Linked DNA regions of Arabidopsis thaliana. The protein of the gene in region 2 interacts with the protein of the main gene of each other region in a pairwise test. Each region holds a gene or a part of one and is shown on either strand. Other genes may lie near its edges.

Region 1 (7,471 bases), on a different chromosome or scaffold from region 2:
TTGACACCATTCCTCTTGCCTGTCATGTCATCTACTATTAATGAGTTTACAATAACATACAATAAGATGATGATGCATAGTGATATCTCCAATTTACCTCACGGCCATAGAAATTCAAGTAGACGTCTTTGAGATTGATCCACTCCATAAAATATGGCGGAAGATTGATGTTTGAAACTACGCATTGCTCAGGAATCTTTGTCTTTATATCCCAGTTTCCACTGATAACATTAACATAATCAGTATCCCAAAGGAAATCAGTAATGAGAAACTCAAAGATTTACATAAGCAGCCCCATCTCTTATCATTAATTCTCACCAGGTTACAAAAGCTGCATCGTTCAGACCCCAATCTGTATCTTTATCCCACAAGTCATGCTCAGCTAACCAAACTTCAAACTCCTCAACAACTTGCTTAAATGGAATAGCTGTGTCATGCCACACACTACAATTCGATTTTTTAAAAGTTAGTGCGACAGTCTCAGAATCCAAAGAGAACCAAAAGAGGTGTTGGGAGAAGTCTGTGGAGTGTGGACTCTAAACCAATTCTTAGGATTATCATACTTAGCAGAGTAGTCAATTATAGCATTTGGTAACGCATGCATTAAGGATTGACTAGTGCAACTAGACAGAAAACATAACAAGCATTGTAGCCATATAAATATATCTACACCTAGAAGTAAGATAGTAGTAGCATACCGATCAACCCCGAGTTCCCCATACTTGCCTTCGATGTATTTGTTAATTGCTTGCTCGCTCATTTTGGTGGGTCTTACAAACCTTATGAAGAAGTATAGAGAACAAATAATCAACCACATTGTAAAATTGAGGAGTAAAATTATTAGAGAACAAGCAATAATTAACATTGTGGTATCTAGCTATGACCAATAACATTCTGAAAGAAAATAAATTTCTGAGGTCTTCTTATGTCTAAACAACTCACTAACAGTTCTTACTCCAATGACACAAAATCAACCATCCAAACAGCCAAAGACCTTACGATTGTTAAGAAAAGTAATGCCATTAAAGATAGGAAGCTGTTATGACCTGTGGAATAAGTCTACGACTTCCATGGTTTTGGCATCTACGATCAAAATAGGAAACTCAAGAATCTCAACTTTTCCTTCCAAGTCAATAACCAAGAAAAAATTGAATTCTTGTGACTTCTTTCTCTCAAGATCAGCAGCAGCCACTCGAAGTTCCTTTGAACAATCGTGGTTAAAAATCTCCAAATGGGCAGGATCATCCATCTGATATCATCAACATAAACTTTATTACCCATCATTCACGATTATTTAGGTATAAAAAACTAGTAAAGAATAACAATGTAACGATCGAGACACAAACAATAAACAAGTTCCAATCTCGTTCAGACATTCCATCGAACAGGTCGCAGACATTGCATAGTTGATTCAAATTTCGCATCACTTGTTTTCGAACAAGCATACGGAGCAGGAACCAATCAATAAAGAAATGGAATTTAATTCCGCATTCCGCTGTAGCAAAAACTAAATTTAAAAAGAACGACGAGTAGCAAAGTGTTTACCTTTGTACACTTTCCGTGGGTGTAATACAAGCACATGGGTCTCCACCTTGCATTTTCACTTGTTTCCATTAACGAAAAAGTAGAAGGAGAAGAAGAAGAAGAAGAAGAAGAAGAAGAAAAGTCAGAGGGAGAAGGAGATGGAGATACAGAATGCGAAGAGTTGCACATGATTCGTTTGGTATGAGCTAAAGCCAACGTGGCGGGATAAGAGAACCGGGTATCACGGAAAGGACTGATTCTGGACAACGAAACCCTAAATGCAGAGAATGCGGACGCCATTTTCGTCGATTAGCATGAAGATTGAAGATGAAGATCTTCCTTTCGAGTACAGGGACTGGGAACTGGGAAGCTAAAAGCCTTTAGTTTGTTTTAGTAACCAATTCAAATCGAACCAAAAATTGAATTTGAAAACCAAACTGGATTTATATCCACACAAACTCTTAACCAATGCCAAACCATACCATGAAAAACTAATAAACCGAGTAGACCTAATAATGGTACTAAATCGAAAATTCTGACTACAAGAAATGAAATTAAGCTTTGACTAGCCTCAGGAAATGAACGTAAACTTGGCAAAAAAAACAGCAGTTGAATTCAGAATCGGAAGAGATCGACTATTTACATCCTCCATAAAGTGGAAACAATTGGTATCAAATTTCACGTTTGATAAAATATACCGAACGGACTAAGAATAGCAAAAAGTTGTGAAACATATGGCTTCAACTTGTTTCATTGCAGCGCTTAAAACCCGGTCCAAGAAATGTCTGATCTCTAATCTTCATCCACATCTTCTGTGAAGTCTTCAATCACTTCAGCCCTATTAGATTGTTTGTTCAACGAGCGCATCTCCTCTATTTCAAACTTCAACATTGCATCACAAATCACTTTGCTATTCTGCAGTTTACCTCGGCACCCTGAGGATTTCAAGAGGTCATACAAATGACAAATCAGCATGAAAGAACAAAGTAATGGTGTCTAAAGATGTTTTTGAGCAAGAACTATTTTACCTGCTACAGGACAATTCGCATTTGGATTGTTGACTATGTAATGCAGGATTACAGATTTTTCATAGACGTGCCTGCAATCCATACTGCAACCATAAAAAGGATCAGAGAGACATGGTATCAGTTCACCGCACAATTGTATATTATTATTTGATTAGTTCTACTGCTACACGAAAGATGAAATCATATTCAAGCTTTATGGTCATGTATAGAAAGAAGTCAGTATCGACTGAATATGGCTTTTGAGGATCATCCTACATAGACATCAGGCATGGGAGAGGACAAGCAAATCGTCCGAACAAAACAAGACATCCAAGTTAAGGGAAAAAAGACAAGAAACATCCATTGTACCTGCGAACTGGATCTGCTAATTCAGTGACAGGCTTCCCGCTCAAGGGACATGTCATGTTTAGAAGAGGGCACTGAGTACTGGTCATAACAATGTCCTCATCATCGTCACCAGGCATTGGTTCACCTGCATGATGAACATTCTGCAGCAAAACATTGACAATAACTTAAAAAGGAAATCGGACTATAGACCTATTAGATACAAGCCAAGAACTTTAAGTTAAAAACATACCCAAACTGCTTCCCTGAACTGGCGCATCAAATGATCATTTTGTGGCACTGAGGAAGGTGTAGCCTTGAGCTTTGTGAATTCATCATCAAGCAACTTTTTAAAGTCCGTTAACTGCAGTCATTAGAGTAAAAATCAATTTGCTACATCTAAAAGTATGCAACCGAATAAGAAATTAGATAACACATGAAAGAGGGAAAGTGAGTACTTGTTCCACGGGTTGGTACCGATTTGCAACGGATTGAATTGCTGTCGAACGGTGATTACAATCACTATGCAAATCCAATAACTCAGCCACAGAATTTTCAAGGTCCTTAACCTGTGGAACCCAAAATATAAAAATGAAGAGCATATATAAAGAGCATTTAAGAAAAACAAAGACAGACATCAAGGAAAGAGTGTTGGCAAGAGCAGACAATAATACAATGTCAGAATGAAAGAGATACGTGATAACAAGTTTTACAGCAATGCAATTAACCAAGAATCAATCACATTAGAAGAAAGTCTAGGCAGTTCCCACAAGTTTAAGATAAGGTCACTTATGATTAGCCAATACAAAAACTCAAGGAGATGAATGAAACTACTCTACATTGTAGCAAAAAAAAAAAATGTAAAACGGCTACAAGTGCGTTTATCCCTGAAAACGCTTCCTCTCATATCAGACAAAATAATAACCAACCTTGTCCGTTTGATTTTCTTTCTCCAATTGAACTGCAATGTTCTTCATCATTGCCACAGCTTTGCGGATATCCTGCAAATAAAAGTAAAAACAGATACGAGATAAAGCAGATTCTAGGCTATAAATTTTGCCCAAATTAGAAATCCCTTGTTCACTTCTAACTAGTCAAACCCATTATAAGCCGAAGCTCCTATCTGTTAACATCTCGGAGGAAAGATTTCAGGAACTTCTCAGAAACCTATATTTACATCAAAAAAAAAAAAGAGTGAATTTGGTTTGAACGAAAATACTCACAGCAAGCGTGGAACTGTTATCGGAGACAAGAACCAAAGAAGCGTTCTGAATCCTTCCGGCAACTCCGTCAGACGAGGACGCCGACGCCATATCTATCGCTCCTTCGCTCCAATTTTCTCTTCCGAGGTTTGTTTTGGAGGGAGAAATCAGAAGACGGAAAGAGTGAGAGAGCCTGCGATATACGGAGGTTTGCTGAATAAAATGCGTGCCGTCTTATGCTACTATAAGCGACACGTAGTTAATTAATCCTATTAGAAAACGTGAAGAAGACAAGTCGTACCGGCCGAACGAAGTCGTACTGGCCAAACGATGTCGTATCGCTGCAACAAGCTATAAAAAGGCCGCAGCCAATCCATAGCCCGTCTAGGGGGTTTGCTTGATAAACTGTGTGCCGTCTTATGCTACTATAAACGACATGTGGACAAGAAGAGATGGCATGTAGTTTAAGGATATAGATCTTTGAATAAACGACGTCGTCTTCTTTCCAATCCTCTTTCTCCGGGACTCTGGAGTCGCCGAAGCTGAAACTTCTTCATCCATCATCATATCATATGAATTTTTTCTAGTGATCTTCTTTTTGATTGAGAACATGAGTGATCAAGAAGGAGACTGGGATTTTTACCTCAGAATCCTAAGCAACAGCGCGCGGGATTCTACGGATCCTGCTTCTGATCCATCTATACTACAATCAGTACGCATCTTTTGTCCATTTATTGAGAATTGGCTTGAGACTGGTATTAAGTGATACATTGCTTTCGTTTTGTTTGAATGTATATGGATTAGGTGAAGAAGCTGCATGGGTTCTGTAAAATGGAGAAATCAGATGATCTTGTGGCTAGAATTTATCCACAATTCAATAAAGTCTTCCATCGTTCGGTTGCTTCACTATCTCAGTCCGAGTCAGGGGCGTCCAAAGGCCTTCTCTTGCTAGTACATTATTCTCCCTGAAGAATTTCAGATGAAAGTTTGTTTTTTTACGTTTTGGGTTCTAGTGTGTATTAAGGATTCTGTGTTTGTGTGTTTAGGCCATTCTTCAGTTTTTTCTTGATTTTGGGGATATGGTTCTGCACGATTCTGACCCAAGTTTGAGGACATTCTTCCGCTCATGTCTTAGCCGGTATGGACTACCTTTTATGTCTTGACTGGGTCTTGTTGTGGCTCTGTGCTCTGAGATGTGTGCTACTATGCGTTTATGTAGATAAATTTTGCTGATATGATCATGATTTTCTTTGTAGTGAGTTCTCAGATGCCGCTGTGGCAGAGGCAACTTGTGAATTCCTTGTTGTGAACCAAAGAAAGCTCTTAGCATCTTTCCCAAACTTACTCCCTCAGGTATTAACTGGAATGACTAGCCATATAAATCCTTAAACTTTCTTTTAGCTTTCAGTCTCAAGAAGATTACTCTCTTAATTAGTAAAGTGCCTCTATTTATTGTGTTATTACTGTGTGCATCAACATATGTAATAGAACTGTATCTTTCTGTCCTTATAGCTTTATGCAATCTAGCTGTTCCTTCTGCTTTCATCTTTCTTAATTTGTGTCCATTTACATTTCCACCGCTTGAACAATTAAGCCATAACAGATATATTATATCTCTATCTAATTCAAGAAATTGTATTTGCAGTTTTTCCCGTTGTTGCTTAAGCTCATTGCCTGGAATTGGGAGAAGTAAGCTGAAAATATGCACAAGTGATTTGAACAATTATCTCAAGGAAATAAATTTTCTTTGTTCTAATTTCAGGTTGGAGAAGTCCTTCCTGAAGATATTTCCAGGACTGATATCACCTGGGTCATTTCTTCCTCTGTTTCCATCCATTGTAGACTTGCCAAGTGAGTCCGCTTGTCTAAAAAATGCTACTCGACTTCATATATTTGTTTGTACTCTAATTTGGAGACCACTTGGATGACTCCAACTGTACTAAGATGTATTTGTAAGCTGACTGGTTTCCATTGTTTTGAGCTTGTTTGGTATTTCTCCATTGATGCTTGGACTTTATTCTCTCAGCCTGATTGAGTTTACGAGTGTACTGTGTACTAATTATGTATCTTCTTGTTAATATTTTTGCTAGTATTGGTCGTGGCATTAGAAAAGGTGGAAAGGAGCTCGGGGTCGGGGTCAAGGGTTGGAGGTAGCATTGCTTCAATTCAGAAGAGTGCAGCTCCGGAGGTCTTATATCTCATAAAAACATAAACCATATGACAGTTCTTAGATAGTCAATGAATGACAAGGATACCTGTGAATGCAGATGCTTCTTGCCCTTATGGATGAAGCATATACTGGTTCAACCATCGGGGATGGAGGGGATGACTCTGAATCTGAAGATAACAATACAATAGATGTAGCTGATCCTCTGTTTCTGGAGCTTCTGAAGGACGAAAATGATGGTCTAGCGGTATGCATCCTTCCTCTGGCTTTGCTTTATTCCAAAAACTCAACAGAAACAGTTTTATATAATAATTGTCTATTAGTAAAAATTTAGGGCCTATGTGAAAGTTGGTAGTTTTTTAAACTGTCTGATATATTAGACAAACTGAAAGTATTTTGTCAAATTTGTGCTGCAGGAAAGACACCGCGCTTCTCCTACATTGAATGCAGCGCTGCAGGCTGCTGCAAGTGGTCCTCGGTCAGAGAGGATGAAGCAGACTCTTAAGATTGCTCCCCGACTTCTTGATGTCTACTTTAGTGTTACATTGCGAGATGCAAATGACTGTAAGATAATTTACAGCCTTCCTAGTTTGTTTTAGTTGCTAAAGGAATATAAGTCAATTTCCAACTTAGTTAGGCCGTTGACAACTTTATCTTTTGCAGCTCTGATCTGTGCTTTAATCCCTCTACTCATGACAAGAAACTCTACAATGTTTCCGGATAAGATTTTTTCTCATGAGGTACACGCATCTTCTGTATTGTTTTTCTGAAGACTTTCCTTAGAAAATCATTAGAACAGGCTAATTGACAATGTTTATTGATTTCTCTCCTCTAGATATGAGTGTAGCGTCCATTAATATTTCTTCAGAAATGCCAATGCTATTTTGACGTTTTAGTGTATAGACCTGTATCACTGCCATATTGGACGTTATCTTACAGAGATATTGTTTGCGTACACAGATCCGTAGGAGGCTACTGGAATTTGTACTAGCTGCATTTCAGAGGTCTCCAAATTTCATTGCCCTGTTGAAAGTAATGTCTGCCTATTTTATTTTATTTTTTTGTGCGAGTAATAGCTTTAGAATTTAGATAAGAAGATTTCACAGTGCATTATTAGATACATAGTCTTATGATTACCGCTTATTTTCTCGAGTAATTTGCAAGATATGCATTCTCAACTTCTTAAATAATACAGAAGCCTATTATTGACCGACTTGGGGAAGCTT
Region 2 (7,471 bases):
ACATTAAAAAAAAAACATTTACACTTTTTACCTTGATTAATCTCATCAACAACCCTGAAAGGACAGTTTGTCAGATCTTGAAGAGAGACGAGGTAAAGGATAGTTGAGACAGAACGCTCTCCTCCAGATTGGTGGTGAGAGCTTAGAACCTGAAGTTGCCCAGATTCTCTGAATTTCACTTTGATATGTATTCCGTATTGATCAAAGTCAGTGTCACGTTCATCCAATGAAACTTCTCCTGCAACAGCCATTTCTTGGAAGTTGTGGCTGAATGTTTCATTTATCTGACCAACAAGCTGTCTCAACGTTGGAAGCCATTTCTCCTTTAGCGAATCGATTTCTTTCATGCATATGCTCAGATCTCTTTTATCAGTTTCGAGCTTCGTAGAAATGGTATATATCTGACTTTGGCGATGTTCATACTCTTGGAGAATGTTCTCGTTTATGAAAAGGATCGAATTGGCTTGAGACAGATTGTCTTGTATAGCCGCTTCCAATTCTTCGACTGTGGTAGGCATCTCCATAAACTCCTTTTTAAGTTCAGGTGTGATGGTTGCAACAGATTCTGCATCCCTCTTGGCAGTTGCTAGCCGCTGCTGCTTTCCTTCTACCTCTTTCTTACAATACTCAACGGCGAGAGATAGCTGTTGTGCCGTTTTCTCATATTGTTTGATATTGATTTCCGACTCTCTGATCTTTCTTTCCAATTCTATAGAAGCCATATGCTTCTCGGCGTAACTCCACTTATGAGCAACAGCCTCCACAAGTAATTTCTTGAGATTGATTGCATATGTATAGCGGTCAGCGTTAGCTCTGGAAGCCTGATCAATCAGCTTAGCAACTGAAGCATCCATGTCCTCCTCTTGCTCTAAAGATTCCAGCTTTGTCTTCCTTTGCTGGTAACGGGATTCCAACTCACGGCGTTTTTTCTTCTCCAGATACGAAACATTTACAATCTCCTCCCTCTCTTTATGAAGTTTAGCTGCTTCTTCTTCCAAACGTCTTTGCTCTGTTTGAAGACTCTTGTGAGTTTCCTCCATGAATAAAATAGAGTCTTCTAATTCCTCCTTTCTTGATCTCAGTTTCTCAAGCTCTCCAACGTCCACCCCACATAATAGAAGACGTGATTGATATACAGAATCTACACTTGCAGAGGAATGACCACCATATCTTGAGGAAGACCACCGGTAGTGATTGTCTGGGGTCCAAAAATCTTTAATACCCAACTTATAGACTTCTTCAGCCCTCTGATCGGTAATCTTTGATCCAATGTACGAGTCCTCCAGACCAAACTGGGAATTTAAAACCTCCTTGACGGCATCAGGAGCATCAAATATTTGATCAAGCCGAGCATGGATCCCAAGAGAACGCATCTGATCAGAAATATGAAAGGGAGCCTTTTGATTGCCGCTATTGCCCACATAGTTTAGAACAGGAACATCAAATCGTTTTAAATTTTTAACCAGCAAATCACGGTCCTCCGGATCCTGAGTGATAAAAGACTTCCAGATATAAAAAGAAACATGACCCTCCAAAAAGCAAGCGTTCTCTCGATTTGGAACGTTAACCTCCACCAAAACAGGACCATATACTTCCCTTTTAAACTCATGACGATTCTGTTGCACCCATTGATATGCGTCAAATATCCTATCAGCTCCAGAGTTAGCTAACGCTTTCAAGAGTTTGTTATTTGCATTCTCCATGTCCTTTAACTTATCTACGCATTGCCTCAGGGTGTATCTCTTCTGAGACAAAAGCTTCTCGTTGTCCTCCTTCTGATTCTTCTTTCCGTTAATGCTATGATGCAGCTCTGTAACCTGAGAGCTCAATTCTTCAAGTTTGGCTACAGGACGTTCGTATACAGGCAGGTTTTGGAGTTCCCGTTCCGCAGCAACGAGATCCTCAGTAGCTTTCAGAATCCTTTCTTGACGATGCTCTTCTTGTTTCTTCAATTCCTCCAGTTCTTTGTACGTTGCCACTACACGTGCGTCTGCCTCATCTTCTTTCTCGAGCAAGTGACAACGGTTTCTTCCATTTGCATCCATGAGATTCTTAACTTTTTTGCATTTTGAATCTGTCTCTGCTTTCTCCTTCTTTTGCTTTTCTATAGGTTCCTTCATGCTGTTCAAATTCTTTGCAGCTTCATCCAATTTTTTCTCGGCTTCCTTCATTCTCTTCTTAGCATCCATGTACTCAGCTTTTTTCATATCATACTTTAGCCATGGCAATTTCTTCTTCATGGAATCAACCTTAGTCAAAAACAACTCTCTCTGCCTAACACGCTCCACGTCCTTCTCTTGCTCATCAACAAGAGCTTTAAGCTGATTCAGCGTCTCTCCATTTTTCGCCACAGCTCTCTCAAGCTGCTTCAGATCACGGCTTTTCTCAACTAGCGCGCGATGATGGACTGGCAGTTGAGGATCCCCAACAGCTTTTTCCGTCTCCTCCAGGAGTTGCACAGGAGTTAACTTGGCAAACTCGCAAACCCTATCTTGTGGCAGGAACTGCGTGAGATTGTTAACTTGAATGTTGAATTTCTGTATTATCTCCACAATATCTTTCTTACTAACTGTGCTTCCATTAAACATCCACTCAGACTTGTTACGTGTATCGATCTTACGAAAAATCGTAAGATTTTCTTCCCTGGTGTTACCTCTCAAAGAGATCTTGACATAGCCAGAATCTTCCCCACGCTTAACATATGCTCCAACACTAGTAGCTCTCCCAAGAAGCTGAGGCTCACCACCAAGACAGAGTGCAATGGCACAGACAAGAGAACTCTTACCTGATCCGTTAGGTCCAATAACAAGGTTCAAACGTGATCCAGGTTTGCATACCAAGTGATTGAATGTCATGAAGTTGTGAAGCTCGATTTCGATTATATTCCCAGGCAAAAAGTCATCTTCTCCTCTGGAGATTTTAGGACGCTTAGCACGACGTTCAGACATCTTTGTCGTTTCTCAGCGGTTCAGAGATTTTTACTGAGTTAACCTGAAAAAAATTGAAACTTTCGTATGAAATCCAACAGGGAAACAATGTAGAATCGAAAATTAGAAACTTAAAAAATTTAGAATCTGGACAGTGCAAAAGCTAACCCTAAAACCAAAATTGAAGAATTGAAAACTAAAATCTAATCAAACAGAAACTTCTAGTAACAATCTCAAATCACAAGCAATCATCAGTTTCGCATTAGCCTTTCTCTCCAACATAAACCCTATGACTGGAAAATGAACAGTAAAACCAAAAAAAAATCAAATTTTTTAATAGCGAAATCAACTTACGAACAAGACAGAGACGGAAAATAAAAGAGAACGCTGAAAAACGAACCCCAAAAGAAGAATAGACAATTCGATTTGCTAACAAACAAAGTTGAATTTCCGAAATCGAGAAGGAAAACAGACCTGAACAAGTGAATTTAGCCGAAATTGAAATATGGAGCGCGGAATTGAACCATACGAGGATAAACCCTAGACTCTATCTGAATTGCGATTTTTCAGTTTGTTTGCAGAGCTGAAAGTGAAACCATGAAAAAGCGAAAACCCGGGAAAAGAGAAGCACGACGACCAAAGCACACTCTCTCTCTCTAGGTTAGCCTTTTAAAACCTTGACGCCGGTTCAAATTCAACTCGTTTTAAAATTAAAATCGACTCATTAAGTCCGGTTATTAAATAAAAACCCGGTTTACAGATTCATAGGCCCCTTTTTTTTTGTGTGGAAGCTCTTGAGTCTTGACATTGGAAGATTATCAAAACAAACCAAAAAAGTTGAATCTCTAATGACGATGGTTATTGGTTCCAGTTTCAAAAAGATTTCATTATTTGTTCTCCTATTGTGTAATATGCGAAAGTCATAGTTTATTTGGTAGCAGAAGACCAGAGACGATGGTTATTGGTTACATTTGAATTTGACATTTAAAACCGTATTGAGGAGAACTTTGTTAAGACAGGTGTTGTTTTCAGTGACCATGTTGAAGAATCCGGTACACATCGATGACTCCAGAAGCAAACTCGGGATCAACTGCAGCTTTTACCGCTGTTGCTGCAACGGATTTGACATTGACCGGAGGTATTAAAAGTGGCCCGATCACAGGAATTTTCGTCACCTCTTTTGGCAACAGCTTCAAAACCTGTAAATGATATAATGTTTTTGAGATAAAAAAAAAAAGATTCTTACTTTCACCTAAAGATTACCAAGATTGATGCAAATCGTGTTTTACCATTTCGAGAGGAGCTCCAATGAGACTAAGTGGCAGCTTTATGCTACCGACCTGACGAGTCCCATGTATGAATCCTGGCCTTAAAACCGAACCTTCGAAAGCAGAGGAAAAAACAACGACTTATCAGTGAACACGCATGTATATAGAAATGGAGTTTTTGATTAAAAGTGAGAATTTACACACCTCTGTTTCCAAATTTATCCAAAATCTCAGCTTCGGTTGCTCTCTGAAAATAGATAGATAAATTGATCAAAGAGATATGTAAATAACTAAGAACAAAAACCAAGAAGACAAAGAATAAGAATAAGTACCTTCCCTTCGAAATATCCTCGAATCAAGTTATTTATGACACCAAAATCCGCAGCTGATATATACACAAATCTCTTCACACCTAAACAGAATATATAAGCCGCTTTTCTGTTAGTTTGCCAAAGAACAACAAGCCACAAAAACCTTATCTATATATTTTTGCAGATAACTCAACAATTTGAGTTTTCTCTCATCCCCATACAACACAAGAAATCTATGAATGTTTAGTTGTTTACCTTGTTCTGCTGCAGCTTTAACAGCATTGATGTTTGCAGTACCGTTAATTCTGACCATTTGTGAGTTGGAACCAAAACCACCAACACATGAAATCTGCACAAGTTTCCATCAGAGATGCGAAGGAACCATATGATGAAGTACCTTTTAAGAAGATTTCTTAATTACCACAGATGTAATTCCTTCTAGTGCAGGCTTCAGAGAATCGGGTGAAAGCAAATCACCTATTTTTTTAGTAGAAAACAGAAATCGAGTGAATCATCGAAGTCTTTTGTTCATAAATGATGAACAAATTGAAAATGTGTTTTCAGATGTTGGGAATACCTTGATGCCAGGTTACATCATCGACCCACGAATCGTGAAGAGAAGATCTTCCAGACCTAATAAACAGTTCAAAGACTAAAGGTTAAGCTACGAAGAGACAGTCTATGAGTACTAAATCAGATTTAAAACCGGTAATGATACAAATACCTGCTAAGACTAGATACAGAGAAACCTTGTCTCAGTGCCTCCTTACATATGTGTGAACCTACATAACCATTTCCTCCCAAAACCAATATCTGCATTCAAGACAAAATACTGTAATAGATACAGCGAAAGAGAGGGAGACAGTTTGTGATCAAGTTTCTTTATATTGCACATATGAAACACACAAACAGAGATACAAACCAGAGACTTCCAAACAACAACCCCGTAACCATAGAAAACTCTACACTCTTATTTCAACTGATTATATTCCTAACTAATTGTCTGATGTAGCAATCGGATTTGAGGAACTCTCTTATCACAAAGTCTCATGAGACTCAAAAGCAATGAGAGAGTTATTGTCTATTACCTTATTATCTCTTGAATGTGAACCAGCGACTTCAGACAAAAGCCTTTCATTTCCTCTCTGACTGATTGAACTGCCAAAGAGATAAAGACAAGAAGACCATCATCAGTATATGCAACATTGTCAATGATTTTATGAAGAAATCACACAATTCAGTAATATCAAGTGTTGGGTCAGAGACTATGTCCCCAAAATGAAAATCCCTACAAGTGATTCATTCGTCTCTGGCAGCAATAAAGATCAATGCTTTATTCGAAAAACAGTTCTATAGAATTCGAAAGGCCTTAGAAGAAGAACTCACGACATCGTGACGACTGAAGAATATGCCTGTGATCGTTTCCAAATCAGAGACCTTAACATGTTAAACCCTAAAGCTGAGTAGCTCAAGTATCGCGACTTTTTCTCCCGGAATGAAGATGAATTGAAACTTAGGCAAGCGATTATAAATCTGAAACTGCAGAATTCTTAAAAACTTTGTGGAATCATGAGTCGTGAAGTCGAGATCTTCGGGAAAAAAAAAAAGAGACCTTTCACAATCACAACTGTGGAGACGATTGTGGCGTTCTAGCTTCCACGTAGACTATCCACGTGTCATCATGAATAAAAAACTAAAACATTGAATAGAATAAGAAACACTCAAGAAACTGAGAACAACAAACAACGCTGCAGCGATTCAGTGTTTCTTAGATGTTACTCACATTCAATTTTACTTATTAGACCGTTTTGACATATAATAAAGAATCATAGTGTATACTTGTTAGTGCAATTGGTATACTGACTCGATTCAGAAATTTTTGTTTAAGATAAGATAAAACAGAAAATGTTTGCTTACCTTTTGGTTAAATTATAACGACAAACCAAAATGAATCCACATGGGTGAAGAAGCTCATATGTTTGTTTTAACTCTCAAATTCATATACTAAACTTGTTCGTAACAGTTGGAAAGTGCATAATAATAACTTGATACTGTATAATCAAAAATATGAATTGTTGAAAAAATCATAAGTACTAGTTAAGCAAATTATGACCAAGACATAGCCTAGTGAATTGTAATATTTCCGGCATTGTGTTATCATTTAGATTTATACAACACAATGCATGTTTTAAAAAAAAAAATTATATTGTGACAATTGCATAGTTAACAACCTAGCTAAACACTAATTACATGTGTTACAGAATTAAATATCACTTAAACGTCCAAATTGCCGACAAAAAACGTCCAAATTAGCGGAATAGTCATCACATTGTGAATTTATTGTTTGATTGATCACTTTAAAATTTTCAGTTAGCTATTTTGCAATAATAATAACTCATAATTTAGATGTGACACCTACTCTTTTTGTTCTAACATAGAAGAAAAATTCACAAAATTTCATGATTTGAAATAATTCACAACTTATAAACAAATCGAGTCCCAATTACTCTGGTATAATCTTTGTATGCTTTCTCTCTCAAAATCTCTCCTTCTTTCTCTGTCTCTCTCTATCTTTCCTTCAATGGAGCTTGTTCATTCTGCAACATTTCCATGTAAACAAAAGCTACTCATCGCAGTGACCATTGCTACATCTCTTTTAACCATCATCCCTCTTCTCTACCCTTTGCTTGAAGACCCTAACTTCTTCCTCAAGCAACAACCTCCAAGCCAAAGCAGCATCATCAACCTCGAAAACGGTGTTGTAACATCACATGACAGCTGCGACATATTCTCGGGAGAGTGGGTTCCTAACCCTGAGGCACCTTACTACACCAACACGACGTGCTGGGCGATACACGAACACCAAAATTGCATGAAGTTTGGAAGACCCGACACGGATTTCATCAAATGGAAATGGAAACCTTACGGGTGCGAAGACGGCTTGCCGGTATTTGACCCGGTTAGG

What was found.
Region 1: the proteins of SMC5 (region 2) and HPY2 interact in a two-hybrid assay, tested with the Arabidopsis thaliana proteins (one study listed by BioGRID).

Annotation. Positions count from the first base shown.
Region 1 is NC_003074.8:5,099,894-5,107,364, forward strand, and holds HPY2 (RING/U-box superfamily protein), read right to left. Parts: upstream 4,267-7,471; 5' UTR 4,190-4,266; coding exon 4,100-4,189; intron 3,878-4,099; coding exon 3,806-3,877; intron 3,446-3,805; coding exon 3,335-3,445; intron 3,241-3,334; coding exon 3,130-3,240; intron 3,041-3,129; coding exon 2,901-3,040; intron 2,636-2,900; coding exon 2,553-2,635; intron 2,460-2,552; coding exon 2,317-2,459; 3' UTR 1,951-2,316; downstream 1-1,950. Other genes in the region: AT3G15140 (Polynucleotidyl transferase, ribonuclease H-like superfamily protein), read right to left, coding at 1-19, 98-221, 319-444, 699-779, 1,047-1,249, 1,546-1,824; AT3G15160 (AP-5 complex subunit zeta-1), read left to right, coding at 4,689-4,790, 4,883-5,029, 5,125-5,216, 5,335-5,431, 5,724-5,767, 5,841-5,929, 6,169-6,266, 6,346-6,492 and 4 more. UniProt on the Arabidopsis thaliana protein: E3 SUMO-protein ligase that modulates cell cycle progression and functions as a repressor of endocycle onset in meristems. May function downstream of the meristem patterning transcription factors PLETHORA 1 and 2 (PLT1 and PLT2) in root meristem development.
Region 2 is NC_003076.8:5,191,687-5,199,157, reverse strand, and holds the start of SMC5 (structural maintenance of chromosomes 5), read right to left. Parts: upstream 3,566-7,471; 5' UTR 3,402-3,565; intron 2,992-3,401; 5' UTR 2,949-2,991; coding exon 32-2,948; intron 1-31. Other genes in the region: AT5G15910 (NAD(P)-binding Rossmann-fold superfamily protein), read right to left, coding at 3,956-4,126, 4,217-4,308, 4,400-4,442, 4,528-4,607, 4,762-4,855, 4,928-4,983, 5,084-5,139, 5,231-5,319 and 2 more; TBL19 (TRICHOME BIREFRINGENCE-LIKE 19), read left to right, coding at 7,031-7,471. UniProt on the Arabidopsis thaliana protein: Core component of the SMC5-SMC6 complex that promotes sister chromatid alignment after DNA damage and facilitates double-stranded DNA breaks (DSBs) repair via homologous recombination between sister chromatids.